Linked DNA regions of Mus musculus. The protein of the gene in region 2 interacts with the protein of the main gene of each other region in a biochemical or structural test. Links are inferred from orthologs where the notes say so. Each region holds a gene or a part of one and is shown on either strand. Other genes may lie near its edges.

The links.
Region 1: the proteins of Tnfrsf8 (region 2) and Tnfsf8 form a complex in vitro, tested with the Homo sapiens proteins (2 studies listed by BioGRID and IntAct). The link is inferred for Mus musculus from reciprocal best matches to the Homo sapiens genes TNFRSF8 and TNFSF8.

What each region holds. Positions count from the first base shown.
Region 1 is NC_000070.6:63,853,553-63,868,779, forward strand, and holds the start of Tnfsf8 (tumor necrosis factor ligand superfamily member 8), read right to left. Parts: upstream 7,733-15,227; 5' UTR 7,508-7,732; coding exon 7,298-7,507; intron 1-7,297.
Region 2 is NC_000070.6:145,285,196-145,300,322, forward strand, and holds part of Tnfrsf8 (tumor necrosis factor receptor superfamily member 8 precursor), read right to left. Parts: intron 13,656-15,127; coding exon 13,539-13,655; intron 11,799-13,538; coding exon 11,655-11,798; intron 7,995-11,654; coding exon 7,904-7,994; intron 7,566-7,903; coding exon 7,399-7,565; intron 3,322-7,398; coding exon 3,231-3,321; intron 2,882-3,230; coding exon 2,784-2,881; intron 230-2,783; coding exon 131-229; intron 5-130; coding exon 1-4. UniProt on the Homo sapiens protein: Receptor for TNFSF8/CD30L. May play a role in the regulation of cellular growth and transformation of activated lymphoblasts. Regulates gene expression through activation of NF-kappa-B.

The DNA.
Region 1 (15,227 bases), about 81 Mb from region 2:
CTTCAGTGAACTTTTCACTTGGCCAAGGACAGTGCATTTCATTGCTCTCTTCTCCCTATTCTCAAGCAACTCTTTTATTTGAGGATGGAGAAGCAAGGCCTTAGGACATGGTGACTGCTTACATTTATGAGACAAGATGACGACTGTTAGAATTTGTCAGATTGTTTAGACCGGAGGCGCTATGCTGAGTGCTGTCTGTAAACTGTTTTAATAAACCTTGCCTGGGGAATTTGAGATCTTGGCTGGGCAAAATGAGAACTATCTTGCTCAAGGGCTTGGCTTTGAGTAAGGTAGGACACAGGCTTGACCTAGATGCAAACAAATGGCTTCCCCAAGGCTGTCATCTCATCTCCATAGTAGCTCTGGAAAAACAATCACCATGGTTACCAAACCCTGCTTCATTTCCTTAAGTATACTTTCTCTTTTCTTTCAGCTTCTATGCCATCTGATGGACATTCCAACAGTACTAGAGTTCTTTCTGTGTAATGGAAAGAATGACCATGCACAGTCTGTTTCCCTCCAGGTGAAATGACCCCCCCCCCCAACCCTCCAAGAAGCCAATCAGTAGCCTAGAACTGTATTTTTCTCTCCCTTAGTTACTGTGAGTAGAGCTTTGGCCAGTGATTCTTACTCTGGGCTATTGCAGACATAACAAGATATGGCATGTAAATGACTAGCTATTGTTTGAAAATAGTAGCTGTTTAAGAGGAACTGCTCTGGCCCTTATAATGTGTTCAGTTTGTTTTAATTCGCTGAAAGATCTGTTTGCTTTTAGAGCAATGAAATGGAGGGCATGGAACAAATGTGTGTAAGTTCCTGTATTTGCTTTTCAAACTAAGTCCTCTATTACTAACACTTACCAAGACAACTAAAGTGTGGAATATTCTATGGAGAATTTCACATCTGTTTCTTTTCTGATTTTCATTGTCTTAGAAGGTAGGTCACAGCACATGGAGATCTCTACTATCTCTAAGGTAAGACAACTAAACACTTAATCCAGGTTACTCTGGGAACCAAATCCTTTCTGGGCCTTATTGTATTGGTCATTAAGTGGACTTCAAGAATTAAGAGTTGTCTAAACACAGAGAAATGACTTAATCATTACAAAAGATCCCAGAGATAAGAAAGTTGGCCATACTGTTTATGAAGATCAATAACTCCATAGCATTGACTCTCTCGATTAAGGCAGACAAAACAGCAGTATGTTCCCCCAAGACCAAATGGGAGAGTGAATGGCAGTCATAGGAGACCCCCCTAGGGAAAGTATTTTTATTAGGAACTCCTGGTTTGGCAGGTCTGGGATTTGGAACAGTGGAATAACCAGTGTTTCTCCAACTTGCAACATGTCATGAAAAAAGCTATTCTGATTCAGGAATTCAGGATAGGCTCTGAGGTATTCTGACTGTAGTTAGTCTCCTGGCCATGCTATCATGTCTGATCCACTAGCTACTTTTAGAGTAGGACTGGCTTCAAGATGTATTGTAATAGGCAAGTAGGTCTTATAGTCTTGGAAAGTTGCTGCAGGAAGTTGTGAGATTAAGAACTCTTCCTGCTCTAAAGATGGAGTTGGTACTTTGTTCTCTGGGCCTCCTCTATCAATGAATGTGGTCACCTAGTCTCACTTCCTGGTATGTCTTGGCCTGCTCTGTAGTCTGACCATTGTTCATACCCTAGTAACTCTCACAATCCAATTTGTCTTTCTCTGGGCCATGCCTTTACTCATTGTCTAGCTTGATGGGTCCTACCTCTGCCATTATCATAATGGAGAGCTCATCTTTATAGAAGAATATAGTTAGTGAGTCAAAAGGATGACAGCATCTATTAACCCTCCATCATAATCCTCAGGGTAATAAAGGATTCAGAGATAAGGATCATCAAGAAATGCCAGTCTGCTGAGTGGAAGACATTCATGTCTTGAGAGTGTTACACCACAGATTACATATTCATGACAAGAAAAATTGTTGCTAGTTGTCCCCTTAATGAGGTATCTAAACATATAACTATAAATAACCAGACATTTGTCCCTAGCTGCTATAATAATATCAAGCATAGATAACCCCAGGTAGACCTAGAATGTAGATTGTTCTACTAAAGAATTATAACATAGTCAATACCACAAAACCAACAATCAAGGGCAGGTGTAACAGTTCCCGCATGGCTTCTCAAATTTTATTATTCTGGGAAGATTATTAAAATGTTGGTTTGACTCGTAGCTCTGGGGGGAAGCTGGGAAGTTTTAATCTCTCTCTCTCTCTCTCTCTCTCTCTCTCTCTCTCTCTCTCTCTCTCTCTCTCTCTGTGTGTGTGTGTGTGTGTGTGTATCATGTATGTGGGTATGTGTGTCTAAGCATGTTCATGGCTCTGAGTGAATATATATACACATATGTATATATATGTATATATACACACATATGTATATATATGTACGTATATATGCACATGTGGTGGTCAAAGGGCAACCTCAGATATCAGTTCTTAGCTTCTGTCACGTCTGTCCTTCTGTGTTCACTACCTACCAGCTAGATAAGGAAGCTCTGTGACTTTCCTGTCCCTAAATCCTATTTTGTCTAGGAACAATGGGTTTATCGCTATGCACCTGAATTCTGAACATGCAGATTTAGGTCTTCATGCATGGTAGAAGCAGCTCAACCACTAAGCCATCTCTCAAACTCTAATCTTTTTCTAACAACCTAGCAGGACTATCCATGTATTGGTTTGCTTTCTTATTTTATTTAATTTTATTTTCTTGTGGTATTGGAGAATGAACTCAAGCCTTGTCTATGCTAGGCAAGCACCCCAGTACTGAACTACATCCCTAGCCCTTTAAACCTTTTTATTTTGAAACAGGGTCTCACTAAGTTTGCCCAGGCAGGTTTTGAATTTGTAATCTTCTTGCCTTACCTTTGAGAATAGCTAGGATCACAGATATGAGACACAAAACCAGATAGGTCTACTCATTAAATTGAAAAAAAAAAATGTTTTCGACTAACACATATGCAGATATCACACAGCAGGTGGTATATGAGCCTAGATCTCCCAAGTAACGATAAAAAACCCAGCCATAGAAGATATGGGGAGATGGAACATGGACTGTATGTGTTGTATGTTACTAGGCAACATTGTTGAGTTACCGTGAACTCTTGCAAAATATGGGTGAGTGAAGCCACCCTGCCCATACCTTACTTTCATATATGTACAGAGGCAGCATGAATGTGATAGATTCTTGACAGATTTAGTGGATAGTTATATGGGTTTTAGCATATCGTTTTTGAAAAAAAAAATTAAAGGACAGTTTCTAAATTTTCTCAGATTCAGCTTACATTCTAGTTACTCCCCCAAACGCTCACCACCCTCAGCAGAGGTGGCCCGTTCTCCTATCTGGAGTATTCTGCCTGAAGCTTGGTTTCATAGGCTTTAGTTTCTCACGTTGGGAGAGTTCCCAGAGTGGGTCCCACACATGGACGTGAGCCTTTCCTTCAAAACACTGCAGAGTGCTTGCTCCTTAGGAAAGAAATCTCAGGTTTTTTTGTTTTTTGAAACAATTAAATAAAATTAAATATTTAAACAAATTATTAAAAATAATGAACTCCAGATGCGGGGAGTCCCTTAAGAAAAGGAAAGCGACTCAGGGCATTTCACCTCACTTTGATTGCCTGAGTTTAAGAAACAGGGCTCCTCCCAAATCGCCTCAGCCCTACCCTATCCTTACCAGCATTCTCCCTACAAAAGAACGAGAAAGGTAGGCTTAGCTGCTTTCTCTTTCTAGAATTGGTGTCCGATATTTGAAAATCAAACAACCTGAGAACTTGCTATACCTCTCTGGACTGTGTTTGTGTTCATTCCTAAGCCTGGGTAGGCTCAGCCTCCTGGCTTAGGAAGCGAAGACATGACTACGGTTGATGGCCCAGAGGCTTCCTTATAATGCCAACAGCTCTCTGTGAGCAAAGGGCCTAGGAAACCAGTGTCATCATGGATTCTTCTTTCCTGGGGGTGGTAAGAGAAGCTCTATTGTGTTTCTTCCTTTTGCTTTCATCACTACTCTGCAGTCTTTCCTAAGCTATGGAAAAGTGTGTATGCGCTTGAGCTACTCAACTTTTCTTTCTTCTCATAGTGCTGGGAAAAGCTGTTCCCTTGATGGTAGACTTTCCCTACCTCAAGATGTTACCATCAATGCTGATAGACAACATTCATTTGAGTGAAAAGATGCACAGTCTATTCCCATTTCTAGGTCTTTGTTTACACATACCTGTTTGTAAATATGCACAAAGGGCAAAACGTCCTAGACAGAAATGTCCTACAAGGCACAGGTAAATCACGAGGCGTCGGCACAAGAGAATCAGATAGGATGCTACAGTGGCACAAAGCAGACTTCTACATATAGAAATGGATGGATCTCTATGATAAAGCACCAAGTGAATGAGGTGGACTTAATAATGAGATCTGTGCACTATGTATTTGTAGACACTCAGCTTTCTCAAAGAACACACAGGAATCTGTTTACAGTGGCTTCCTCAGCAAAGACAGGCTACCTCTGGGAGGACAAGGCATGAAGGGCTTCTAGTTTATTTACCCTTATTTATTGGTTAGTTTTGCTGAACAACGTAAATGTATTTCATAATAAATATTGTTGGTTTAAATGTAAACAAAATTGTAGCTATCTCAGAAGCCTTCAAAGACATCACTAGAAAGCTATATAAACAATTCAAGGGCAGGGAGTGGATTTGCCTCAAGGTTTTGGTTAGGTTTACGTACCCAGTGTCTATAACAGTGCCCAGTACAAATAGATACTCAGTAAATACTGAGTTGATGCCTCAGTTTCCCCTTTGTCTCCACTATAGCGATTTCTTCCTCTAGCAAAATCTCAAGGATCCCAGCTCACTTTCCTGACATGGCTAACTCTCCCTTCTCCATCTCTTTTCTCATCTCTGCAGTGGTGCAGGTGGGGCCTCTATTCTCATCTCTTCCATTCCTTGAAAGTTATTCATATTTCTCACTCTGACCAGATACTGTAGTTTCCAGTGATGTTTTCTTGCAGTCTGCTGGGGAACTACTGCTTCACAGGTGGTCTCGAGGTGGTCCTACATAGGGCAGTAAGGTAAACCTCACAGTTCCCCACACAGTCCCTGTGGTACAAGGAGGACACCATGTGTTCATTGCCCATTCCATATTTAATACTAGAATGCGAGTCTGAGCTCTTTGGATCTTTTCATTGGGTTCTTTGACAGATTCCTACTGAGTCTCTCCAGTTGCTAAGTTCACCTGTTTGTAACAGTCCCCATCTGCCTTCCTATGGGATGTACTCTTAATAACCCAGGCCCAGGGGACTCATTTTTCCCCAGTTCTTGCCACAGTTAATGCCTGATAATGTACTAGAAACGATATGCGAAAAGCGTTAGATTCTTAATAGCATAGCCATTAAAATGGAAAGCCCTAGCTTGTGAGCAAGTATCTGACACGTAAAAAAAAATCACAGCATACTAGAGCTTACACACAGACTGTGCACCGTTCTATACCCAGGCACGGAGGTAAGTCAGATCAACAGACACAAGAGGAAAAATCTCTGAGAGAAGAATGAGAATGTTTCTGCCACCATCAGGGCAAGCAAAGGGAACAGCATTCTCACAGAGCAACCAAGAGCCACTAAGCAGCCCCTACTGTACCACTTGCTCAGGGTGCTTGACTGTAAGCCCTGTCCCCTGTCTGTGCTTCATTTTGTGCCTCTGCAGAAACAGGGCAGAAGCCTGTGCAGATTTCACAGGAGGAATCATTTCAACAGTGGATGGGAGCTGCTTCTGCACAGTGCCACCATCAGCCTTCCCCACCTTGGCTTCTTCCCCACACCCAGCAGTTCTGCCTGTGTCCTCTGAATGACAAATGTCTTCAGGCTACTCTAATCTCTCTTGCCTGGCCATTACTGCAAAACAATATACATCTGGTGTATGGAAAATCAGAGTGACAGAAAGTAGAGAATGTGGAGAGAAGAGAAAGTGCCCAGAGGTTTGTCTGCGAGTCCTTCTTGGCCTGATGCAAACGATCCATGAACTGATGTGTCCCATCAGCTCTGCAGGCCAAGTGTGAATAACTCCCTTCTTACACTGCCAAGGAGGAAGGAGCTTTAAAGCTTTATTTCAATATCCATACTTGCTGATACTTGTAAGGCCCTAGCTTTCAGCAACTAGTATGCTGCAGAGTCTGTGGTCCAAGGCAACTTGGAAGAATTATAAATTAGGTGAGTTCACACTTGGGCAGGGTGTTGCACCAGTGGTATTCATACAGTATCCAAATCACCATGCCTGGATCTCACCCCAAGCCTGTGAGTCATGTGAGCTGACCACGCAGTCCTTTCCAGACAGTGTGTAAGAGTTCTCTCTCAAGGATACTTTTCTAAGCTACGGTTTGACTTTCTCCCCCTACCCCCATTTCAAACAAACGAAATTTCCCAAGATGGTGTGGCCCTGCACATTATGTGTGCATCTCAGAGGGTACAGGTGACAAAAACACTGCTACTTTTCAACACCCTGAACTCTTCAAAGCCAGTGGCTTGTGAGGAAGCTTTCGATTTCTTTTGTGGGTTTTAACATTGAAATAGCAGAGCTCTGGGAAGACTTGGCCTCTCTCTCTCTCTCTCTCTCTCTCTCTCTCTCTCTCTCTCTCTCTCTCCCTCTCCCTCTCTCTCTCCCTCTCTCTCTCTCTCTCTCTCTCTCTCTCTCTCTCTCAAATATCACAGTCTTTAAAAAGTAGCTCCTCACTAAAAACAAGCAAGCAAGCAAGAAAACAACCACAACAAACAAACAAACAATAGCAACAACAGACTCTCGGCAAAAGAGAGGCCTCAGAAGTCCTGGGAGCACGGATTGAGGACATAACCTTAGAATTAGGATGAGCGCCTTACAGAGGTGATACCCACATGCGCACTCGCCATCAGGGCTCCCTATGCTTCCTCCCTCCATACTGTGAGGCTGTGACCCATCTGGGCTTCAATCTTAACTTCTCAAGGTCAGCAGCTCTTCTGTTGGCTCCAGTACATCTGGAAATTTTTGAGCTCATGTCCAGTTCTATTTCTTTTAAAAAATTCCCACTGAGTGCAGAAAGTTCATTTCTAGTTTTTCCCCTTTTCTCTGATATAATCTCTCTCTATATATGCATAGTTTTACTTATTTTCACTTTTTAAATTTTTTTTTTTTTTTTTTTTTTTTTTTGCTCCTAGTTAAACTATTCATTAGCTTCCCAGAGCTGTTCCTCTAGAGGACACACATTATAAATGAGGAAAGAAAAGCAGAAAAAAGATGTTTACTCACCTTTTTCTGGACTACCAGTACCAGAATGATCGCCACTGCCACAACAAGGCACACCAGTGCGGTGGTGCTGAGGTAGAAGTAGCTGCGACTTGTGCTTCTCCAGGGCCTCGTGCTTCTCCAGGGGCTGGCTACCGAGCCGGGCTGCACCTGCATGGCTGGGTCAGGGGAAGGAGCCCCACAGCTGCCTGCTTGTTGCAGCCCTGGCTCCATGCTTTATATAGTCTGTCCCACATCACACCTTATCTCTCCTCATCTGATTCGGTTCTGTACCCAGCTCTGTTCCAAGAAGGATTTTCCCCTGCATCCTGGATCATGTGACTTGGAAAAAAGCCTTCACCAGTTGCCGGATGGAGAAACTCTTCTCTGGGGGCGTGAGGCGAAGGGTGGCTGCAAGGGTGGGGGAGAGGTTCATTTTTCATCGCCTGGGATTAATCTGAGTGCAGAGAAATTGTAGCGAGATAGACGATGGTTGATGTCAGCGGGTGGTAGGAAGGAGACAGTTCCGCGTGAGTGTACACCAACCACTTCTGTTTCCTTTAGGCTCAGCCACAGAACGCCTTGCCGCGGGGACCCTGCACACTGCATGATCCATGCTGGTGGCCCAGGAAGCTTCCAGATTAGTCTCTTTGCTGGGTCCCTGGAGATGGCAGTCCTTTGTCAGCAGCACAATGACTGTTGGGGTTGTCCAACAATTACAGCATGCTCTAAACTGGAAACATACCCATTTCTGGGAAAGAAGAGCCCACTGTTTGGGCATTTACCTACCTGGAGACAAGGTTGTGGCAGTAGGATATTTGAGGATAGTTTCAAAGACATGGTGAGAGAAGAGGAATTTGGAAATAATTTGCTGTTGAACCAAAGCTCCTCTATCTCTTGCAGGGTGCTCTCCAGGGCTGTTAAATTTGCCGATGAAACTGGCTTGCCCTAAAGTTCATACTAGGGGAAGAAATTAGTGAGGGGGTCAGGAAGGGGAGGCTCAGTGCTGTGGAACGAGTGTGTGAAGTGTCTGTGGGTTGTATGGGGGTGCAAATAGTGTTCCAGGTGTTTGTGATGAGTTTGTGGACAGAGGTTACTAGAATTGAACATTCTGGCTCAGGTACAGTCTTGGGAACTTGGCTTAGAGGCTGACTTCACACTCGTCACCAGCCTCAGAGGCAAGTAGTATTTCTTCTTCACAGCATAGAGAACTGAGACCCAGCATAAAAGCATTCTTAATCAAATCTACCAGTGTTAATCTAATGGTAAAACTTGGTGGTATATGCAAACCAGCCTGGCTCCAAAAGCCTGCCGGACCCTTTCCTTACAGGCTGAAAACCTCAGGTTGCATCTTAGCCTTTCCTCTTCTCAGCATTGCTCCTTGAATAAGTCAACGCAGCCCCTGCTTTCACCCCAGTCTGCTTTGCAGTCATGGGGAAGATCAAACAGGATGATGTAAGAGGGCTTCCTGAATGGGAATGGACTTGGCAGCTGTTGTTGAACAATTCCTGTTAAACAGCCCAAGTTGCCCTCTGGGCCATGTCTGGAATTTCATATAATAAATAGATTTCTGGGACACAGAGCTGGATCGTATCTGTTGCTATGAATGACCTTTCTTTCAGAATATTCTCTAAAAGCTTCAGAGCTGCCTCCAGATGTGGCCTTCTGAAACCTCACTTGCTATTTCCCTTGAGGTAGACAGCACCTTCTCTTTTGACTATACACTACCTCTGCAGGTCACAGGACATGTCAGAAGCCCCAAAGAAATGCCGGATCCAAAGCCCAGCTCAGATTATTTAGCTTTCTGGATCTGTGTAGATCTCTCTTTGAGCATTCTGCAAGGCAGCTTAGACTTAGGAGATGGTCTAGAGGCCCTTTTTGGTGAGTTTATAAAATGAAAAACCACAGAGGAGGGATAGGTAGTGAGGAATGAACTGGTGAGTATCTTCTTCGAGGGCAGTGTCTCCATCTGGTTGTCAAGGAAACTGAGCCTGGGGTTTGGAAGACAGATTTGTCCTTAGCCACTTGTCCTGCTGGTTTAGATAGGGCAAGGCAAGTTAGTGTTTTGGGGGGGTACACTTGTTTGATTTGGGGAGAAAGCCTTGTCCTTTGGTAGGTACGGACAGGGAGTGGGTGGCAATCTGCCCAGAGCTGCTGAGAACCGGCTGCTCCCTTGGCCCTCTCTGTTTAGCCCCTTTGATCGAAGTGGAAAACTTCTGATTGCTGAATGGAAGCTGTGGGTGTTGAAAAATAAAAAGGCTTCGTTTAAAGTTCAGGTCTTCCTGAAGGCCCATGGGGCTGAGGAGGCAGTGGAAAAAAATGTTTGTCTTATACTTACAGTTTTGCATATTGTACATTGTCCTAGGAGGGAGGGCTGACAAGGGGGAAAATCACCCTTTGTTCTTAGAACCTTCTGAACAGTTGAGATTTTCAGATCAGTCACTAACAGTTTGTGGGCCCAACTTCACTTCTTTTGTGGTTGCATCCTCTGCTAGTGAAATTTCAGAGGCACCCTATTCCCTACTCCTGTTGTCTTCACCTCCTCTATGCTTTTCATGTGTTGCAAGATCTGGTCCAGGCAACCTAGCAGTCAACTCCCTGTGATAACAGGCTCTTTTCAATTTCTACCTAAGCCACACAAGGTGCATGTGGCAGGATCCTACAGGTTCCTTGCTGAGTTATTTTCAAATCCTTCTTGGAGGTAAAACTGCACAGGAAATGTTAAAAAAAAAAAAAAAAAAAGCAGAACTTGGCCGGAGCAGAGGAAGGTCAGGTAGAAAGGCTGAGCCTAGCTGATTGCTCACTTTATAAGACCCAGAGTCAGTACATGATACATGAAATATGGAGTCTTGTGATTATTTAGCTCAAATTATTTATTTCACAAGGAAGGAGATGGAGACACTGAGATGACATGACCTGAAGGGTTTGAGAACTCACTCAGTGATCAAGCCTGAGGACCGAAGTGTGCTATTCAAAACCCACATATAAATGCTGGGTGCAGTGGCATGCTCTTATAATCCCAGTGTTATGGAGACAAAGACAGGTAGATTTGCTGACCAGTTAACCTAGCTTAATCAGCGAGTTTCAGGATTACTGAGAGACTCCATCTCAAAAAGCAAGGGCAGTGGATCTTGAGGGATGACACTGGAAGTCAATGGGTGCGTGCTTGTACGCGAGTGCACACACACACACACACACACACACACACACACACCCCTTTCTTGAGATCGAAATGAAATGATTTGGTTCACAAGGGAAGGGAAAGAAACAGGCTTCTTCTTCCCTCTGTCTGTTCTCCAGATGTCTTTGCAGAAAATATGCTGAACCCATTCAGGCTTCCTTGAATGTTTCTCTTACCTTGCTATGCCTCTGTCTGTCTTTCAAATCTTTCTGAACAGGGGCCATCTGGCTCCATCTCCTTAGTAAAACCTGCCTCTATATAGCAACCCACTAACACACTCTCTAGATTCCAGGCCACGTCACCTAGTGATGTAATTACCTGCCTGAATCTACTTATTGACAAGTGTGTGAGCACATGTCAATTTTGCCTACCTTGTGAGATGCTAGAGTCCCAGAGCCACTCCATTTGTTCTTGCTCTCTTCATCTTTGCATCCTATCTGCATGATTTAGATCTAGGCCCATAAATGACCAACCCTCAGTCATTGATCATCTTGACTTTGTGGCTACGGAGCAAGAGAGTTCTAGAGGGCTGGGTACACAAAAGAATTGTGTGGTGGATTTCTGCCTCCTTTACTTTTCCTATATTTCTATCTTCCTTACTTACCTGACTAGCAGAACTATATTTCCTATATTTACCTGACTATATTTCCACTCTAGCATGTCCTAGTGAGATTGTCCATTGGTGTCCTTTAAAGTAACATTAGTTGCTAAGATGTGGTTCCTGTACCTGACAGTGTATTAAACCAAGCTAATCTCTCATCCTTTGATGAGTAAAATCTATTTTGAAATAGAGACAACACAGCTGTAGTTTTCCTACCTTTCATTACTTCCTAATAGTATGGGCTTTGGGAATTTATCATACAAAGTAGGAGCTTTTAGGGGATGGTCTCTGACTCAGCACCATCAGCATTAACATCACTAGAAGACTTAACTTAAAAACCTTAAAGGGCTACTGAAGCAGATACTCAGGTTGACATCAGGAAACCCATGTTTGGAAAAGTACTTCAGACTATCCTGGGAGCATTTGACAAACAGTGGTAGAATGACTAAGAAAGAGCATCCAAGATATCCTTGGATGAGAATACTACTGTTGTACTATGTGGATGTGAAAAGTGAAGAGGAATCACGCAGTCTCTAGCATCGCAGTCTCTAGCATCGTGTTGTTGGGAAGTGCTGGTTTGAGCACTATTTTTCTGGTGCTTTGGTTGAGCCATCTATTTAAGCTCAGTTACAACTGTGGAATCTAAAGTTACTATTGGTTATGAGGATGCAGATATCTCTAGAATAAAATGAAGAAGATTTAGTATCTATAGTTCTCTTGAATTAAGACTGTGTAATAAAAAGTTGTTTTTTTTTTTTTATGGATCTTATAGAGTAGACTGAATTTTTTTTTCCATTTTTTATTAGGTATTTAGCTCATTTACATTTCCAATGCTATACCAAAAGTCCCCCATACCCATCCACCCCCACTCCCCTACCCACCCACTCCCCCTTTTTGGCCCTGGCATTCCCCTGTACTGGGGCATACAAAGTTTACGTGTCCAATGGGCCTCTCTTTCCAGTGATGGCCGATTAGGCCATCTATTGTTACATATGCAGCTAGAGTCAAGAGCTCCGGGGTACTGGTTAGTTCATAATGTTGTTCCACCTATAGGGTTGCAGTTCCCTTTAGCTCCTTGGGTACTTTCTCTTGCTCCTCCATTGGGAGCCCTGTGATCCATCCATTAGCTGACTGTGAGCATCCACTTCTGGGTTTGCTAGGCCCTGGCATAGTCTCACAAGAGATAGCTACATCTGGGTCCTTTCAATAAAATCTTGCTAGGGTATGCAATGGTGTCAGCGTTTGGATGCTGATTATGGGGTGGATCCCTGGATATGGCAGTCTCTACATGGTCCATCCTTTCATCTCAGCTCCAAACTTTGTCTCTGTAACTCCTTCCATGGGTGTTTTGTTCCCAATTCTAAGGAGGGGCATAGTGTCCACACTTCAAGACTGTGTAATAAAAAGTTGTTTTTTAATGTGGTATATTTGAGAGGGAACAAACTCACATAGGGTATGTTTTAAGTAACAAAGCACAGAGCTAAACTACCTTTTGAGGAGGGACTGTTTGTCCCCTTAACCCAAGAGCCTTCAATGTTGTCCAATGAACTTGGACATTAGACTTCAGTCACAATGCGACATTTATTCAGAGGACACAGTAAAAGAGTGATAGATTTGAAGCAAGATCACTGAAATATGGCCCATGGTCAAATCTGGCAATCTCCTGTTTTAGTCAATAATATTTTATTGAAATAATCATGAACATTTGCTTATCCACTTTCTGTGGATGTTTCTATAATGGTAGAGATGAGTAGCTTCAATAAGGACATTATAGTTTATACAATCTAAAATTTTTTTACTGCATATAGAGTCTTAAACTCTTTTATTATAGAGTTTATCATCCTTTTAGACTTTTCTGATACATGATTTAGAATACTAAAATGAAATCAAGGCAAAATAATCAAGAAGACTTGGGGGAATAACAGAGAAAGGTTGAAGCTTCCTTTATAAAATCCTTGTGAATGCTTTTCTTGCTAATCTATGCTTTCATCTAAAAAGATTTTCTTTGAGCTATGTGGTAGGTATATTATGAAGGCTGACTGTTGTAAAGAATGTAGCATCTGAGAAAAAGGTTGGGTAGAGAAAAATTTGAAGATAAATACAAAGATGCTCTCAGTAATTCATACATTTTTATTTTTAAATTGCATGTGGGAGTTTTAAGACAATTTAAAATAAATTTACAGGTAATCATGGAAACTATTAACATAAAGCCAGAGATCTGAATGGAAAGAGTAAGGTTAATGTATTGAGAAATGTATTTGAGTATGACAGATATATCTACAGGTGTCCCGGTCATCATGGCAAAGAAGGAAGCATATTAGATCTCATCACTCTTTTTGCTCATGAGAGCAGAGGAACTCAAAAATAGAAATGCACAATTTGATTGCTGTAAAGACACTTTGAAATATATAACATTTTGAAATGACTGAGGATTGTTGAAAGCATGCCATTCTGGAGAATTAGGATATCAGCCAACCTTAACAAGTGGAAATACTGAAATGTTAAAAAAAACAAATATAGTTTCAGCCTGTGCTGACAGGGCATGCCTGCAATCTTAGCACCTGGAAGACAATGTCAGGTGGACCCTGAGTTTGGGGCAAGTCTAGAGTATTTAGTGAGAACTTGCATCAATAGAGATATACTGCTCTTGTCTCTCCTAAGCTCTTGTCTCTCTTACTCTCACCTCTCTTCTTCCTTCTTCCTTTCCCTTCCCCCCTCTCTCCACATGGTCATGGCTGCCCTTTGCTTCTCTCTCTCTCTCTCTCTCTCTCTCTCCTTTTCTATAATAAAGCGCTAAAACCATAAAAAAGAAAGAAATATACTTTAATTTTCAGTGACACAGAATTAACGATAAAAGTGGGAAAGCCAAGTATAGAAGGAAGAGACTAAATATGTATTCATGCCCCAACCTCTTCCAGGGTAGGGTTGGAAAACTCAAATGGTTGAAACTGTCCTTCAGAAAGCTGTTGACACTGCACTCATGTGCTGAGCTGAGGAAAGGGTCTCCCATGATGATAAGTCATGGTACATGGAGAGGAATCATCACTGAGCATGGAGAGTCTATGTGCAGGACACTATCAAGGTAACAACGAGCGAGGCAAGCATCATCTCATCATCAAGGTAACAATGCGAGAGGCAAACATTATCCTTTATTGCATTGCATTTATGGACAGGCTGGTATAAAGCTCATTTAAAGAAGTGGCTGTCACAAGATGGTACTCCTAACTGTTGATTCAGAATGCTGTGTGCACACATGGGGAACTCATGCGGACGCACCATCCTTTGTGGGAAAAGTTGTTATCCCTTTTGGCTTCTGTACTAGTTCAATAAGAAGGAATCCATTACCAACTCTTAGTAAGCCTCTCAACTCCCTTCCCCTTCTGGATTGAAATCTGTCAGCGTCTGATGTTGCTTGCAGTATCCTGGCTGTATCATCTGAAAGGTTTCTCTTACCTCCCTTTAAGTCTCACTTTCAGCCTCTGATGCTACTGAATTCTTCCCTTACTACAGATGCATTGTTTTATTCTAACCATACCTAATAACCTCTTCTGACTCATTTTTTTGTAAGACCAGTATCCTTCTTGCAAAATTAGAGGCTCTTTTTTGCATCTCTTGCAGTTCACATTTTTTAACCTAATTTTTTTAAAGCTTTCATTCAAATGCATGGCTTCTTTAAAAAATTAATGTGTTAATTTTATTACTTGTGTGTATAAGTGTTTTACCTGAACCCATGTCTTTGCACTACATACATAACTGGTACCTGAGGAGGTTAGAAGATGCATCAGATTGACTCAGACTGGAATTGCAGATGGTCATAAACCAACAAGTGACTGCTGGAAATTGAAACCAGGACCTCTGCAAGAGCATCAAGTGCTTTTAAACACTAGAAAATCTTTCCAACCCTGTGGCCTTTTCCTTTGATTGTTAAACACACACCACACACACAGACACACTCATGCTCATGTGCATGCACACACACACACACACACACACACACACACACACACACACACACACTTCCTAAATACAGAGATATAATCTGCTCAGTCCATATAATGTTATTTGTGTGTACATATTTTAAGTTGCTGCTCCGATATTCTCCACCTTTACTTCCAATTAACAATACACCTCCCTCCTTAGGTTTGTAGCCTGATTCTTCCTCTGGTTACCAA
Region 2 (15,127 bases):
AACTCTGCAAAAACAGCAGGCTTGGGGCTTAGGGTGTGAGCAGGTAGGAAAAGGAAAGACAGAGCAGTACCCAGGCCAGGCCAGATTAATGCAGCCACCTTCCCCAGGACCCCAAGACACATGCACTTACTCTGCTGGAACCGCCTCCTACAGGCCTTCCAGTAACACAGGAGAAAGGAGCCGGAGCCAACCAGTAGCACCACCATGGCCACCCAGAAGAGCACGGGCCCTGAAACACAGTGTCATCCATCCTGTACTCTGTGCACAGCTAGGAGCCAGGGCCCTTCCCTGGACTACACAGGACAGTCCTAGGTGCAGCCCACTTCCTACTTTTCCTGGGACATGGGTCCCACTGAGATGAGCAGCCCTGAACCTTCCCGAATCTGGGACCATCTGATTCAGCCCTTACCTTGCCACCCCAACCTGGCTCCAGGAAGCTATATGGCAGCTCAGAAAGTAAGAAAAAGAAACCAGAGAGGATGAGAAATCGAGACATCAAGAATCAGAATGGGGCGGGGGGGGGGAGTGGTGGCTGGAGAGATGGCATGGCTCAGTGGTTCAATTCTCAGCAACCATACGGTGGCTCACAACCATCTGTAATAAGATCTGATGCACACCTCTGGTGTGTGTCTAAAGACAGCTACAGTGTACTCATATTTGAAGAAGAAAAAATAAAAGAATTAGAATGGGTTGGGTATAGTGTTACATGACTGTAATCTCATCACTAGGGAGATGGAGGTAAACCAGTTAGCCTGATCTACATACCTAGATCCAGGCTAGTCAGGGCTACATAGTGAGACTTCATATAAAACAACAACAACAACAGACAAAACGACAACAACAAAACAAAACTCTAGAAGTTGGAGTGCTGTAGCTAGTTGAGATGGGGAGAGTGAAGGCTGGTTAGGGAAACTGAGACCATCAGCTCCCGAGGGCAGACACAAGGTCAGCTCTGCACAAAGCATTTTCAGCCATTAAAACAAAAAGGGCCAGTGGGATGGTTAGTGGGTAAAGTACTTACTGCAAGCCTGATGACCTGAGTTCAATGTCCAGAACCCACAGAAAAGTGGAAGGAAAGAAGCCCGCAGAAACTGCCCTCTAACTTTCAGACACGAAACATGGCATTGGGGCACTAACATCATATACATAGGAATGAATGGATATATTTTAGAGCCAAAGGAGGAAGACTAAATCTTGTCCAGTCACCCCTAGAGTCACCACTCAGGCCAGGTAACTTCAGCTTTCATATTCTTTGCACACACACTGGCACATGCACACAGCGTAACATGAATCAAACACAGAACCTAATGCATACTAAACCTAATGCATACTAAACTTCATGTATACTAAACTCAATGTATACTAAACCTTGCCTAGCCCATGCATTTACTCGACCCACCCTTACACAGCCTACACTGATTATTTTAATTGTTTAATTGTTATTTGGGTACATGCCTTGGGTGTTATTGCTCAAGTATGTTTGTTTTGTTTGTTATTATTGGGACAGTAATTCAGGGTAGCTTCAAACTTGCTGTGTAGCCAATGATGACTGTGTTCTCAGGATTACCTACCTCCACCTCCTCTGTGCTCAGATTATAGGCATGTATTACCACACCGGTTTATGTGGGCCTGGGAATGGAACCAAGGCTCTTTGGTGTGCTAGGCAAGCACTTTGCCAACTAAGCCATAGCCACAGCCCTCAAAGAGTTTTCTATGGCATGCTGAGAACTGTTAACTTGAGAACTATTGCCACCGTGTGTCCAAAACTAGTACTGCTAGTCCTAAAACTGCCTGGTGTTACCTCATTAGCAGGAGCAGCAACTGTCTTGATCCTGCTCTGGTAATGTGAAGACCATACTTGTGCTATAGGCTGATAATCCTGGGGGCTGATTTGCTATCCATTTTATATCCAAGGAAACTGAGGATGAAGGGAATTAAGCTTCCTAGACTTTTAGTAACTTATTCAATTTCTTTCTCCTTTCTATTTTTCCCCCCTTTTTGGATTTTCAAGACAGAGTTTCTCTGTGTAGTCCTGGCTGTCCTAGAGTTCACTCTGTAGGCTAGGCTAGCCCTGAACTCACAGAGATCCACCTGCTTCTGCCTCCCAAATTCTAGAATTAAAGGCATGTACCACTACCCCAAGTGAGAGTTCTTTTCAAATAGGGTCTCATATAGCCCAGGGTGGCCTTCAACTTGTTATATAGCAGAATGTGACCTTTAACAACCATGAGACAGGGTCTCACTATGTAGCCCTGACTGACCTTGAACCTGACATGTAGACCAAGCATCTGCCATGCCTAGAGCCTTTTGTTTTGTCCTTCCGCCTCTACATGGTTTCTCAGGATCAAACTGAGTTCATTGGGCTTGCTTCCTTGGGCAGGGCAGATGGCAAATGAGCCACTTCATTGATCCAACCCTGAACTTTTCCTATATCTACCTCTCAGCCGTGAGATTATAGACATACACTACGAAGCCCCGTGGATACCCTGGTAGGGATCAGACCCAGAGGTGCTGGGTATTCTAGGTGAAAATTCAGCCAACAGAGCCACACCCCCAGCCTCAAAACTGAATTTTGGGTAGCAATTATAGGCCATCAGAATGAAGTCATGAAAAAAGAAAAGTTCTGTCCCAAGAATGAGATAATATTAGGAAACGGCAGAGCCACAGGGTCAGTTCTAGAAGCCAGAAAGTTGGGCTTGGTCTTTATTTCTCAATCCACCCGAGGCCAAAGCCCTGAAAGGAAGTCCTGCTGCCCCTTGCTTTGGACAGTGAATGATCATTACCTGGATCCAGAAATGGTGTTCCCGTGGACAATGGAGAGGTGGGCTGCATCCTGCTGCTGGTCCAGGCATCTACCACAAGGCTTAGGGTGGAGGCGGTACTATACCAAAGGAAACCAAGGACAAGGGTGATGGTCACAGTTGCCATGTAAAAAGGGTGTGTCTAATGAAGGATGTTTCTTCTCTACAGAGGGTAAAGATGAAGCCTGGGTACCCAAAAGATCAACACAGTCTTTACAGGCATTGTGAGGTATTGATTAAGCTCTAGACCCTCTGGCTTTACAATCCTGTAATCACTGAGACAGACACACAGCCATGTTCCTCCCCAACCTCCCCAAAGGCCTCAAGGTCTGATGCCCCTGCATGTCTAGCCCTTACTTTCCTGGACACTGCCTGAGCATACAAAGGGCCATTCTGCCCTTCCCATGGGGTGGGGGGACTAGGAGTCACCTTGCAGGCTCCTTGCTGTTTTCTGAGGTGCTGATGTCAGGGAGTGTCCCTGGAGATGGAAGCTCCAAGGTCATATTCTTCTCTGCATTACCTATAGGTATGATGACATATTAGAATCAGTGCAGAGAGTTTGAATATCCAGTCTGCAGTGGGGAACAGTGGGAGGCAGTTGGGAGGTAGTGGAAAGTAGTGAGTGGGAGTCTTCCATAACACACAATTCCTGGCTACAAGTGACAAAGGCCATGAGGGTTGTGCTTTAAAGCATCAAACTGGAGAGGCTATGGTACCATGGGTTCTGCTATGCACGCTCCAGTGAAGTCTGCTTGGCAGGCTGAGAGGCCTGGAAGCACTCACGAGGCAAAGAGTTTCACGGAAACTCACCTCCTGGAACTCTGGCAACGGTTACTCTCATAACCCGTATACTGATACCCTATCCCCGTGTTAGTCTGGTGTATGGATCCACGTGCTCTCTTTTAGTATTATTTTATTATAAGTGCCTTTTAAGATTGAATTCTGACATAGCTAAGCCTTCGCCAGTGTTCCAACGTCCCAGAAAATTCTTGAAGATGACAAACTTGGAATTCAGTAGGAATTCAGTAAGAATGTTGCCTATTCAGTGACATTCAGAATTGCCTCTAGTATTGTAAGAGAGATAGTGAAAGAAATCAGGCTTTACTATCTACTACATAGAGTTAGAAATCTCAGGGCAAGCTTAGCAATGTAAGTTTAGAATTCTTATTATAGTTATATATGGCAGACTACATTACTTATTAGTAGAAAGTCCCCTCACACTATCACTTAGGATAAAATCCAAGTCGCTCCCATATACAGGAATTTACAATGGTTTAGGAAGTAGATCAGGCTGTTGTTTTAGAGTATTGCATTATTCATGAGAAGGTTAGCTAGAGCGGAACTCCCTAATTAGAACCATAACTTGGGTGTGAAAGCCCTTGCCCTAGGAGTGTAAAGACCTCACACCTGGCTTCTAAGACTATGACCTTAGATAGAGTTGACTTTAGATAGAGCTGACTTTGTCTCAGTTGTTTTATTGCCCAGTTCCTGCCAGTCCTTTTGTTTACATTCCTCTGTTTTGTGTAAGAGTCATTAAGCATCCGGTAACCTCATTTGTACCTTGCCGATGTGTCACCTAACTTCCCTATTTTCTTCTGTATAAATAGTTTGATGCTCAATTTGAAAAATTACATTCAGATTCTACACAACCTCTTGCGTTGCGTCTGTCTGTCATTCTCTGACTCCTTGCCCATCTGCAACTAGAAACCCATTCTACACAGACAAGGGACCCAAGAGGGTCTGCGGCAGGGTTCCAAAAGCAGCTTCTGCTTTTTATTTAGAAGAAGCTTAAAGGGCAGCAAGATGGCTCAGCAGGAAAGACCTTAGGTGACTAAGGTGATGACCTTAGTTGGATCCTGGGACCCACATTGTGGAAGAAGAGAACCAACTAATCAATACCCACAGGTCGTCGTCTGACCCCATGGTACATGTGTCATGTATGCGCGCAAGCATGCCTGCACACAAGTATGTACACATATCAAAGAGAGAAAAGGAACTCTGGTAAATATCCCAGCCACCCATCATGCTACTGTATCCCAGCCACCCATCATGCTACTGTATCCCAGCCACCCATCATGCCACTGTATCCCAGCCACCCATCATGCTACTGTATCCCAGCCACCCATCATGCTACTGTATCCCAGCTATCTATCATGCTACTGTATCCCAGCCACCCATCATGCCACTGTATCCCAGCCACCCATCATGCTACTGTATCCCAGCCACCCATCATGCTACTGTATCCCAGCTATCTATCATGCTACTGTATCCCAGCCACCCATCATGCCACTGTATCCCAGCCACCCATCATGCTACTGTATCCCAGCCACCCATCATGCTACTGTATCCCAGCTATCTATCATGCTACTGTATCCCAGCCACCCATCATGCCACTGTATCCCAGCCACCCATCATGCTACTGTATCCCAGCCACCCATCATGCTACTGTATCCCAGCTATCTATCATGTTACTGTATCCCAGCCACCCATCATGCCACTGTATCCCAGCCATCCATCATGCTACTGTATCCCAGCCACCCATCATGCCACTGTATCCCAGCCATCCATCATGCCACTGTATCCCAGCCACCCATCATGCTACTGTATCCCAGCCATCCATCATGCCACTGTATCCCAGCTATCTATCATGCTACTGTATCCCAGCCACCCATCATGCCACTGTATCCCAGCCACCCATCATGCTACTGTATCCCAGACATCCATCATGCTACTGAGAGGCAGTGGAGCTTCAGAACCTGGAGCCCAGAGGAAGGGAGAAAGGTCATCAGGAGTACGTCCGTGAAAAAGTCCCTACCTCTCCTTTGCCTCTTTGTGCATCCTGGCCACCATGAGGTGAGCAACGCCTGTGGAGATGAGCTGCCTCAGAACCAAGCAGCTATAGACAAAAATCTCCCCAACTGAGAACTAAAAAGGACCCTTCCCCTTGTAATGCTAATTAGAGACGGTGTTCCTATCACAGAGAGGGAAAGCACACTAAGAGGGATTATATTTAAAATATCAACTGACTTTCTGCATTGGCCATATGAAGTTACAAGCTGTTATTTGTGTGTGCTTGTTTGGTTGGTTGGTTGGTTGGGTGGGTGGGTGGGTGGTTGAAAGGGATAGTTCTGGGTGTCCTGGGTGTCACTATGTAGCTCTGGGTGTCCTGAAACTCTCAGTAGACCAGGCTTGCCTCAAACTCACAGAGATCCACCTGCCCTTACCTCCTGAGCGCTGGGATTAAAAGCGTGCATCATCAGACCTACTAAAGTTACAGCTTTCATTTGGTTTGTGTTTTTAAATGTTTAACCTTTAAAAACCAAAAAAACCAACCAACCAACCAACCAAACAAACAAACAAAAAAACAGCCAGGCATGGTGGGAAGAAAAAAAAATTGCCCCACAGGATTGCTTGGCCACAGGCCAATCAGCTAGGGGCATTTTTAAAATTGAGGTTCCCTCTTTTCAAATGACTATAGTTTGTATCAAGTAGACACAAAAACTAACTAAGATACCTGAGCTATATAATGAATTCTGAGTCAGCTAGTGCTATAGAGTGCTATGTAGCAAGACTGACTCTCTACACAAAACAAAACAAAAAGCAAAAAAACCCCATGAAAACAAACAAGAAAGCCAAAGACAAACAAAATAAAAATAACACCACCACCACCAAAGGCAGAATAGGAATGAACATGTCCCTCAAAGGCCTTGGTGGAAAGCGTGAGGAGCATAGCGGGAAGGAAGGGCTTGAGGCCAGAATCACAAGCCACCACCATTAACCAAACAAAAGCAGGAAGCATACAAGTGTTATGTTCCAGTTCAGACTGGCAGATGGTTCCATCTGCACAACTCTGAGAACCCAAGTTCAATGCCAGCAGCCAGATACAAAGGCAAGCATGGTGGAGCACACTTGTAGCCCCAGTGCTATCGAGAAGACAAGTGAAACCTTGGGACTCATTGGCCAGCCAACGTAGCTTGATTGCTGAGTCCTGGGCCAATGAAAGGCCCTGTCTCAAAAAACAAGGTGGATGGCTTCTACAGACTCCCAAGGTTGACCTTTGACCTCAATGAGGATCAGTACACACACACACACACACACACAGAGAGAGAGAGAGAGAGAGAGAGAGAGAGAGAGAGAGAGAGAGAGAGAGAGAGAGATTGATTTATTATTCACTGGTATTTCTAAGCCCCAAGTTGTAAACACCCAAAACCTTGAACAGTGAATCTGTATAGTGCAGGCTGTTCACTTTCTCTGAGTGGTGAAACAGTAGCTGGGTCCTCAGCTATGAGAGCCATGAGAACGGTTAGGGGCCATGGGAGCCATGGCCTGAACCCACCTGCTCTGTCATAAGCACCCTGAGTACAGGGCAGGAACACACAGCACCTGCCCCTGGCATGCAAGGGCACTCAGAAATTTTAGGAAAGAAAGAGCCCTTTCAGGACCTTTGGCACTTGAGCCTCAGCCTCAGGAGCTGCATCCTGGAGATGCTCTTCTGTTCCTACTTGGCAAGCTGCAGCTCAGAGTCCTCTGCATACCCAGGTCCCCTTATCAGACAGCACCTCCTTGGGAGACTGCCACAGCTTCAATTAAACAGTACCTGGATCTGGACTGGGCTCCCTTGCCTTGGACGAGGAAGATTCTGGAACCTTCACCAACTCAGTAGCATCTTCCTGCACAAGGTTGGTGACACGCATTGGCAGCAAGCTCCTTGCACTGTCATTGGCTGGGGATTCTAGAGTAGGCATGGCCTGAGGAGTGGCATGGCTGTAGAAGAAGCCAGACAAAGATCTGATGACTTCACAAACCAGGAGGTCTGGGTTTGGGGATTAGTGTCTATGGAGAAAGGCTCCTGTCTCAGCCCCTATGTGCCCTGCTATGAGCTGAGCGCAAAAGCCAAGTTTCTTAGACCTGGGTCTCTTATGGGCACCAGGCAGAGCTAGACACACACAGCAGGGACTCATATAACTGGTGAGCTTGTCAGAGAGCCACCCTAGGGTCCTGCCAGCCTGGGCTGATCCTGCCTGTGCACCCTGTGTGTCATGGGACAGAGTAGCCCCATCCAAGATCACCTGGAGAGGAACAGAAAGGAGGACAGGAGTCACCTAGTAAGTGTCTTGCGGTCACCCGGATTGGAGCAATTGGGACCAGATCCCGAGGAAGGCAGCTCACAGATAGTGTCCTTCTTTGCTGTGCCTATAAAAGAGACAGCAATGTCTTCAGAACAGGCACTGAGAAACTCAGAGTCCCCAGGAGCAGAAGTGTCAACACCACATGTAGAATCATGGACAAGGTACTAGGAGGACACAATGGCTACCCCGAGACAGAGATTCTGGCTTTCCCAGTATCTGTTCACTCTGGAGTGAGGAGGATCTATCCCTTCACTTGGCTTGGTCAGTGACGCTCACAGATGTTCACACTCAGCTACAGAAACACAGACAGACAGACAGACACACAGACACACAGACAGAGACAGACAGACACATAATTATATTTGTGCCCCCCAGAGATACATATATAGAGATACATATATACAGAGACACAGAGAGAGACATACACAGTAACACACACAGAGATGCATACACATAGACACACACACAGAAACACACAGACACACCCACAGAGAGAGACACACACAGACACACAAGACAGGCACAAATAGACACAGATACACACACACACACAAAGAGACACACACAGATACATATAGAGATACACGCAAAGACATACTCAAATACATACACAGACACACACACAAGAGACATATACACACAGAAAGACACACAGGCACACATAGACACAGATACACACACACATAAACATACACAGAGACACATACACATAGAGACACATAGAGAGATACACACAGACACAAGCACAAACATACACAAATAAATACACACTGACACACACACAGACACAGACACACACAGACAGAGACACACACACAGACACACACACAGACACAAGCACAAACATACACAAATAAATACACACTGACACACACAGGCACACACACACAGACACACACAGACACACACACAGACACACACAGACACACACAACACATACACACACAGACACAAGCACAAACATACACAAATAAATACACACTGACACACACAGGTGCACACACACACACACACACAGACACACATACACATATACACACACACACACACACAGACACAAACAGACACACACACACACACACACACACACACAGACACACACCCACCATCAGATACTCCTGGGTTTGCCCTCCATCTCTACCACATTCTTACTAAGCCAGGCAGTCAAGAGATCATAACAGTCTTCATTAGGCTGCTGTTTATATAAACAACCACATGAAAACAAGTCTGTCATACTAGGTAATAAACAGTAAGCGCTCAACCTTACTGCCTGTACTGTACTTTCTCACACCCCAACGCCAATCTCATCTCCGAGGGAGGGAGTGACCCACATGAGTTGGAAGATGCCCCAACTACTTCAGTGGAGGTGAACACAGCAAGGTCAGCAGTGCGATGAAGTTGACGCAGCTCAGCTGAGCACCCAATCCTGGCTCTACGTTCTTGGGCTGCTCATCTGCCATCTCTGGGTGTCAAACTCCCTACCCACAGAAAGGAGCTGATGGAATCTGCTCTGCACACACGCGATGCTTGCGAAGAAAGTCCATAATAGCCTTGAGTGTTTGGCTATCTGTGAGCTATGCTGAAACAGAAGTTACTCTCCCCTTTCACAACCGGAAATCCTACATCTCCCAGAGCTGCCTTCTGGGAGAGTCCACAGGGGCTCCAGAGATGAACAAGGTCAGGTGACTGTGGCAGGGCCACTGACAGAATGTGCTGTGTCACTATGCCAGTACCGCACACCTTTAAGCCCAGGACTTGAGAAGTGAACAGTTCTGTGAGTTTCAGGTCAGCCTGGTCTACTTAGTGAGTTCCAGGTCAGCCAACAGCTACATAATGAGACCCTGTCTCAATAAAAGGAGGGATGTGGTCTTAGTAGTTAAGATCACTGGATACTTTTTCAGAGGATGGGATTCAATCCCCAGCTCACAACCTTCTATAATTCCAATTCTAAGAAATCCGATAACCTCTTCTTGCCTCTGTGGGCACTAGGCATGCATGTGGTACACAGACATACGTGCAGGTAAAACACCCATATACATAAAATAAATAAATCGAAAAATAAAAATGAATCTGGGTGTAGTGGCACATGCCTGTAATCCCAGCAGTCAGGAGTCTGAGGAAGCAAGATCAGAAGTTCAAATCCAACCTGGGCAACAGAATGACTCTGTCTCAAAAGATAAATAAAGAAATAAATAATTTTAATGATGTCTTTGTGCTAGGAGTATTGCTTATTGGTATAGTCCTTGTATGACATGAATGGCCTTGAGTTCAGTCCCCAACACACACACACACTCGTGTGTCCATGCATGCATACACACATGCACACACAGCTCACACATTTAATACCCACACTTGGGAGGATGAGACAGGGGGATTACTGTGGTTTTGAAGCCAGTCTTGCCGCATAGTGACTTACAAGACATCCTGGGCTACAAAATGAGAGCGGGTCTCAGAAAGAAATAATCTAACAACATAATGATCTATGTCAGTTGGTAACCAATATAAATATAAAAAGATACATTGTATTCTCGCTTACATGGTAGGTCTTTGAAACTTACTGAGCATTATAGACAGAACATCTTAACTTAGACCTGCCACATTTTAAGCATTTTTTTTTTTTTACACATGGCAATGGCAGGACTTCAGAGACAGGCCTCTGTTGCCCCCATGTGGCAGTCTTGGGAACTCTGCCCAGACAGCCTAGCCATGCTAGCTGGAAGGTTGAGAATCTGTCTGACAGACAAACACGGAGGCCTTTAAGTAACATCTCCTCATCATATGAGCAAGGAGAAAGAGTTAGAGGAACTGGCCCCATCCACAGGTAAAAATCTTCAATATAGCCCAGCCCTCAGCTACGTTTCTGATTGCAGACAGGGTCCCACAGTACAGAGAGCATTCTGTGATTCAGGAACTTGGAAAATGCCCATGAAGCTAGGAGCCAGAAAAGCCAAGGACACCGGTTAGAGAAAAGGGTTTGCAATTTTCACCCCTCACCATCGGTTTGCCCCACCAGGAGTTTATGTGATTGTACTGTCCTTTTTGCACCCCCACCTCCATGTCTCCCTTCTAGAAAGCACACCACCACCTCCTTTTTTGAGAACAGAGTCTCACTATGGAATCAGCCTAGCCTCCAAAACACCACTTCTAATGGCAACCAGTGAAGTTCCATGATTCTTATCTCTTCCTCTGACCATGAACTCCTCCTCCCTTGTATTGTCAAAAAATTAGAAACGGGAGATGGTAAGGCCTGATGTCACGAGGCAAACTGGGGGAAAAAAACAAAGCAAAGTAATTTCTCTGCCTTTAATCTGTTGCCTAATGTCTCAGTACTCCTCTCTCCAATAAAATGTCCTATTCTGACGCAGGGAAGGTAGCTCTAATTTGTCAGATAACTCCCAGGGTAGAGACTTGAGGCTTCCTACTTACTTGTGGACCACCGGAGAATCATCCCTGACCCCAAGCTTCAAATGTGCCCACAGCCTCCTTTAACCAGGCGTGGGCCTCTGCCAGTAGAGTACCTCTGACAGGACGCAGATGTGAGCAGTGAGCAGCAGAAACCCCGAACGGATGCTGCACACATCACAGCATGGGGAGAGAAGCTTCGACCTGTTTATCCTACAGTGGTGGGAAGGTTAGGAGGCCTGTGGCGGGCACAACAGTAGCTACTAAGGAGCTGTGGGAGCTGTGGGAGCTGTGGGAGCTGTGGGAGCTGTGGGACACTCACCTGGAGACTTGACAACCTCCTCTCCAGAACAGTGGAGTTTGCAGCGGGCGCAGGAATTGACTGCTGGTGTGCAGCAGTGCATGCCAGGCTGACACTCACAGATTCGAGGAGAGTTCCCGGAACACGGAGCCTTCTCCACAAGGCCTGAGGGACACAGAGAGGGTCATGGAAGGGAAAGAGGGGAGCCAAGGGTGGGGGTCCAGTGTACACAGGGACAATCCAGGATGAAGGTAAGATGCCACATGACCCTCTGTCAGACCAGTTGGCTGTCACTCTGTGCCTCTCCTCAGTTCTCCTGATGTGCATGAAAGGGGCAGCGTGAGGGTAACCTTCACTTCCAGCCCATATGTCTGCTACTACTACATAGATTACAAACAAATAAATGTGGGGCTAGGGAGACGGCTTAGTGGGTAAAAGCAGTTGTTCTTAGAGCAGAAAGTCCTGAGTTTATATCTCTAGGGCCCATGTAAAAAACTGAACTGAGAGGACCCTATATGACTGCTACAGAAATGGGAAGACTCCTAGGGCTGGCTAGCCAGCCAATGTAGCTGAATCAGTGAGCTCCAGGTTCTGAGAGAGTCTCCGTCTCAAATAGGAAGTTGGAGAATGACTGAGGAAGACTCCTGACATCAGCCGACACTGACACACACAAACACAGACACACAGACACACACACTCCATGCATATATATGATGTCCCAGGATATGGAAAGAACTGAAGTACACGTAACTGTGTGACAGGCCATTCTGAAAAGGCATTACACTGTGATTTTCATGGACCTCCAGCAAGACTGATGTTTTAACTGTACAGGCAGGAGAGCCATCAGTGGTTGCCACGGTGAGGAGGATGGAAAGATAAACTATAGAAGCATGAGGAGTTTTAGGAAGTGCACTGTATGTTCTGGGCACAGATACACCGTCTATGGTCAAATCCCATATGATGGGCATCCCAGCTGAATCACGATGAGGCAGGAACTCAGCAATACATAGCCACACTAGCTCATCTTCTGTATTGGAGTCTGACTACTAAATGGTCTCCTCTGAGGGAGATGGCTGTGGGATAAACCACTTTCTGTGAAAGCATAGGACTTGAGCTTCATCTCCAGAACCCATGCTTAAAAAGATGGGGGTGGGGTTTGGAGAGATGGCTCAGTAGCTAAGAGTATTGCTTGCCTTGCATGATCAAAGTCCTGAGTACTATCCTCAGCATTGCATAAACTAGGCATTGCAGTGCACACCTGTGATCCCAGTACCCAGGACATGGAGACAGAAGGACGCATGCGCGCACACACACACACTCACAATTAGGAAGAAAATACAATCTTTAGAAAAATCTTTGCATGCAATAAACAAAATACACATTATAAAAAAGGCACTGAAAGCTTTGATAAAATATGATTATTAGGTTTTGAGAACAATCTCAACATGTCTTTCAACCTAACCATCCACACAAAACCAAAAGAAAATGCCAGACACTATCACTAAGCACAAGCAATTAATATTAGAAGAACCTATTTCAAGAACTCTCCTGGAAGCATCACCTTCTTTGTTAGAAAGAATGCAGCTCTTGATGCCAGGGCACTGCTCGGACTGCTCCAGGAAGGCCCTTCACATTATGAATCCTCAGATTCTTCACTATAGAAATGGGTTGAGAAAAGGGTCCTTCATGGGGGCATTGTGATGATGCCCGTTCTCCCTCCAGGGAGCACACTGCATCTTTCTGAAAAGTATGGATGCAAAAGATGGCTGCTGATATCAATCTTCAAATCCAGATAGGTAAATAGAAGCACCAGGAGATCAGATCTTGATACTTCCTGCCTCTCAGATTCTGCGCATCCCCCACCCCTGGAGAGACACGTTCCAGGGAGAGAGAATAGGTTCTCACCTGGCAAACAGGTCACGCAGGCTGTGCACTTCCCGTCTTCATTGACGTAGTAGTCAGGTGCACACTGCTTCCTGCAGTGGGCAGGACCCCGTGGGCATGGCTGTGTCGGAGACAACCCTGGGGAAAGCAGCAGGGAAGTTCTAGGCTAGGTTGTCTTGGTAACAGGCTGGCCTTCCACCCTCCATTTCTCATACCTAAATCCCATTCATCTCTGCTTTAAGCGGTTGCATCAGATAATGCTTGTGTTACAGACGGAGGCATGGACCTCGATGGAGGTCACTGGGAACAAATAGGCAGCCCAAGAATGGGGAAGATCTGGCATTCCTGGCCTGCCAACTGACAATCCGTGACCATGGACAATTGCAGCGACCTCACTCATAGTGACAATATGATCTGTTTCTCCTAGAGTGGACAAGGGTGAAGCGTCGGTGAAGTTCAGCAAGTATAGTCTGAGTGCTGGCTGTCACTCTCAGCAGAGGTCCTGATTCTCTGAGGGAACTGGGGGGACTATGGGGAGTTAAGGCCATGAAGATACTGATTCAAGCTGACTGAGAGGCCCTGGAACCACCCAGCAATCTTCCTCCCAAACTTAGAGGACAGGAGATGCAGGATGATGACGGAGGCAAAGGGTACATGATATCTGCCAGGTTCTATCTGTTCTGCCAGAGCCTGTCATGTTTGTTCAGTCACGTATGTTTCCCACTGCTTCACCACAGGTTAAGCACATGACCGAGGTGGGCTAATCAGAACATTTCATTTTTCTCCATCATCGCCTCAGAATAGGCATGTGACTCCAACAGACCAATCAGAACGTGTTATCTTTCTCACCATTGTGATTGGCTCAACATGGGCACATGACCATCAGACCACCAACCGATAAGCCCCATCCCTTGAGCGTTTTTCAAGATGGATGGTCTGGCTTTTTCTACTGAATTTCTGGTTAAAATTGATGAAATCTGGCTTGGTGGCATATTCCTTTCGTCACGACTGGGGAGTTAAATTTCAGTATCTAAATTTATCTACCTGAAATACTCCCACACTCTTCAGGATGGCTATCTCTGTTTACAGCAATCATTGAGTCTCCTGTTGCAGGGCCTGGATCATATTTGGTGAACCTATGTTCTTCTGACTCATGAATAGAAGCTGGAGAGACACCAGGGCCTTCACCATCCCAACCCTGAACAAGGCCTGGGGTCCAGAACACCAAGGAAGGCTGAAGGAGCTCAGGGTTGAGCTCAGGTGATTGTGGACCGTGTTCAAGTTCCTTCTCTGGCTTCCTATGAGGTTTATGTGCTACTGTGGGGAAAGAGCCAGGCCTCCTTTGTAGTGGCCTGAATCATAAGTGCTGTTGGTCATTTTATGAGGCAGGCAGTGAGTTGTCACCACAGGTATGTCAGCAGAGAACTGGGAAGTGACTGTCAGCAGGTGGCAAGGCACCCCTCCTAGGTGAGGACAGACAGGAGAAGACCTCTCAGCCTCTCAAATTCAAAGGTTTTCCAGCTTCCTCTACCAGCCCACCCACGTGCAAACCCTGCCACATAGTTGAGCGCTGATTTGAGAGGGCGGGCAAAATGTCAGAAATTTCCCCA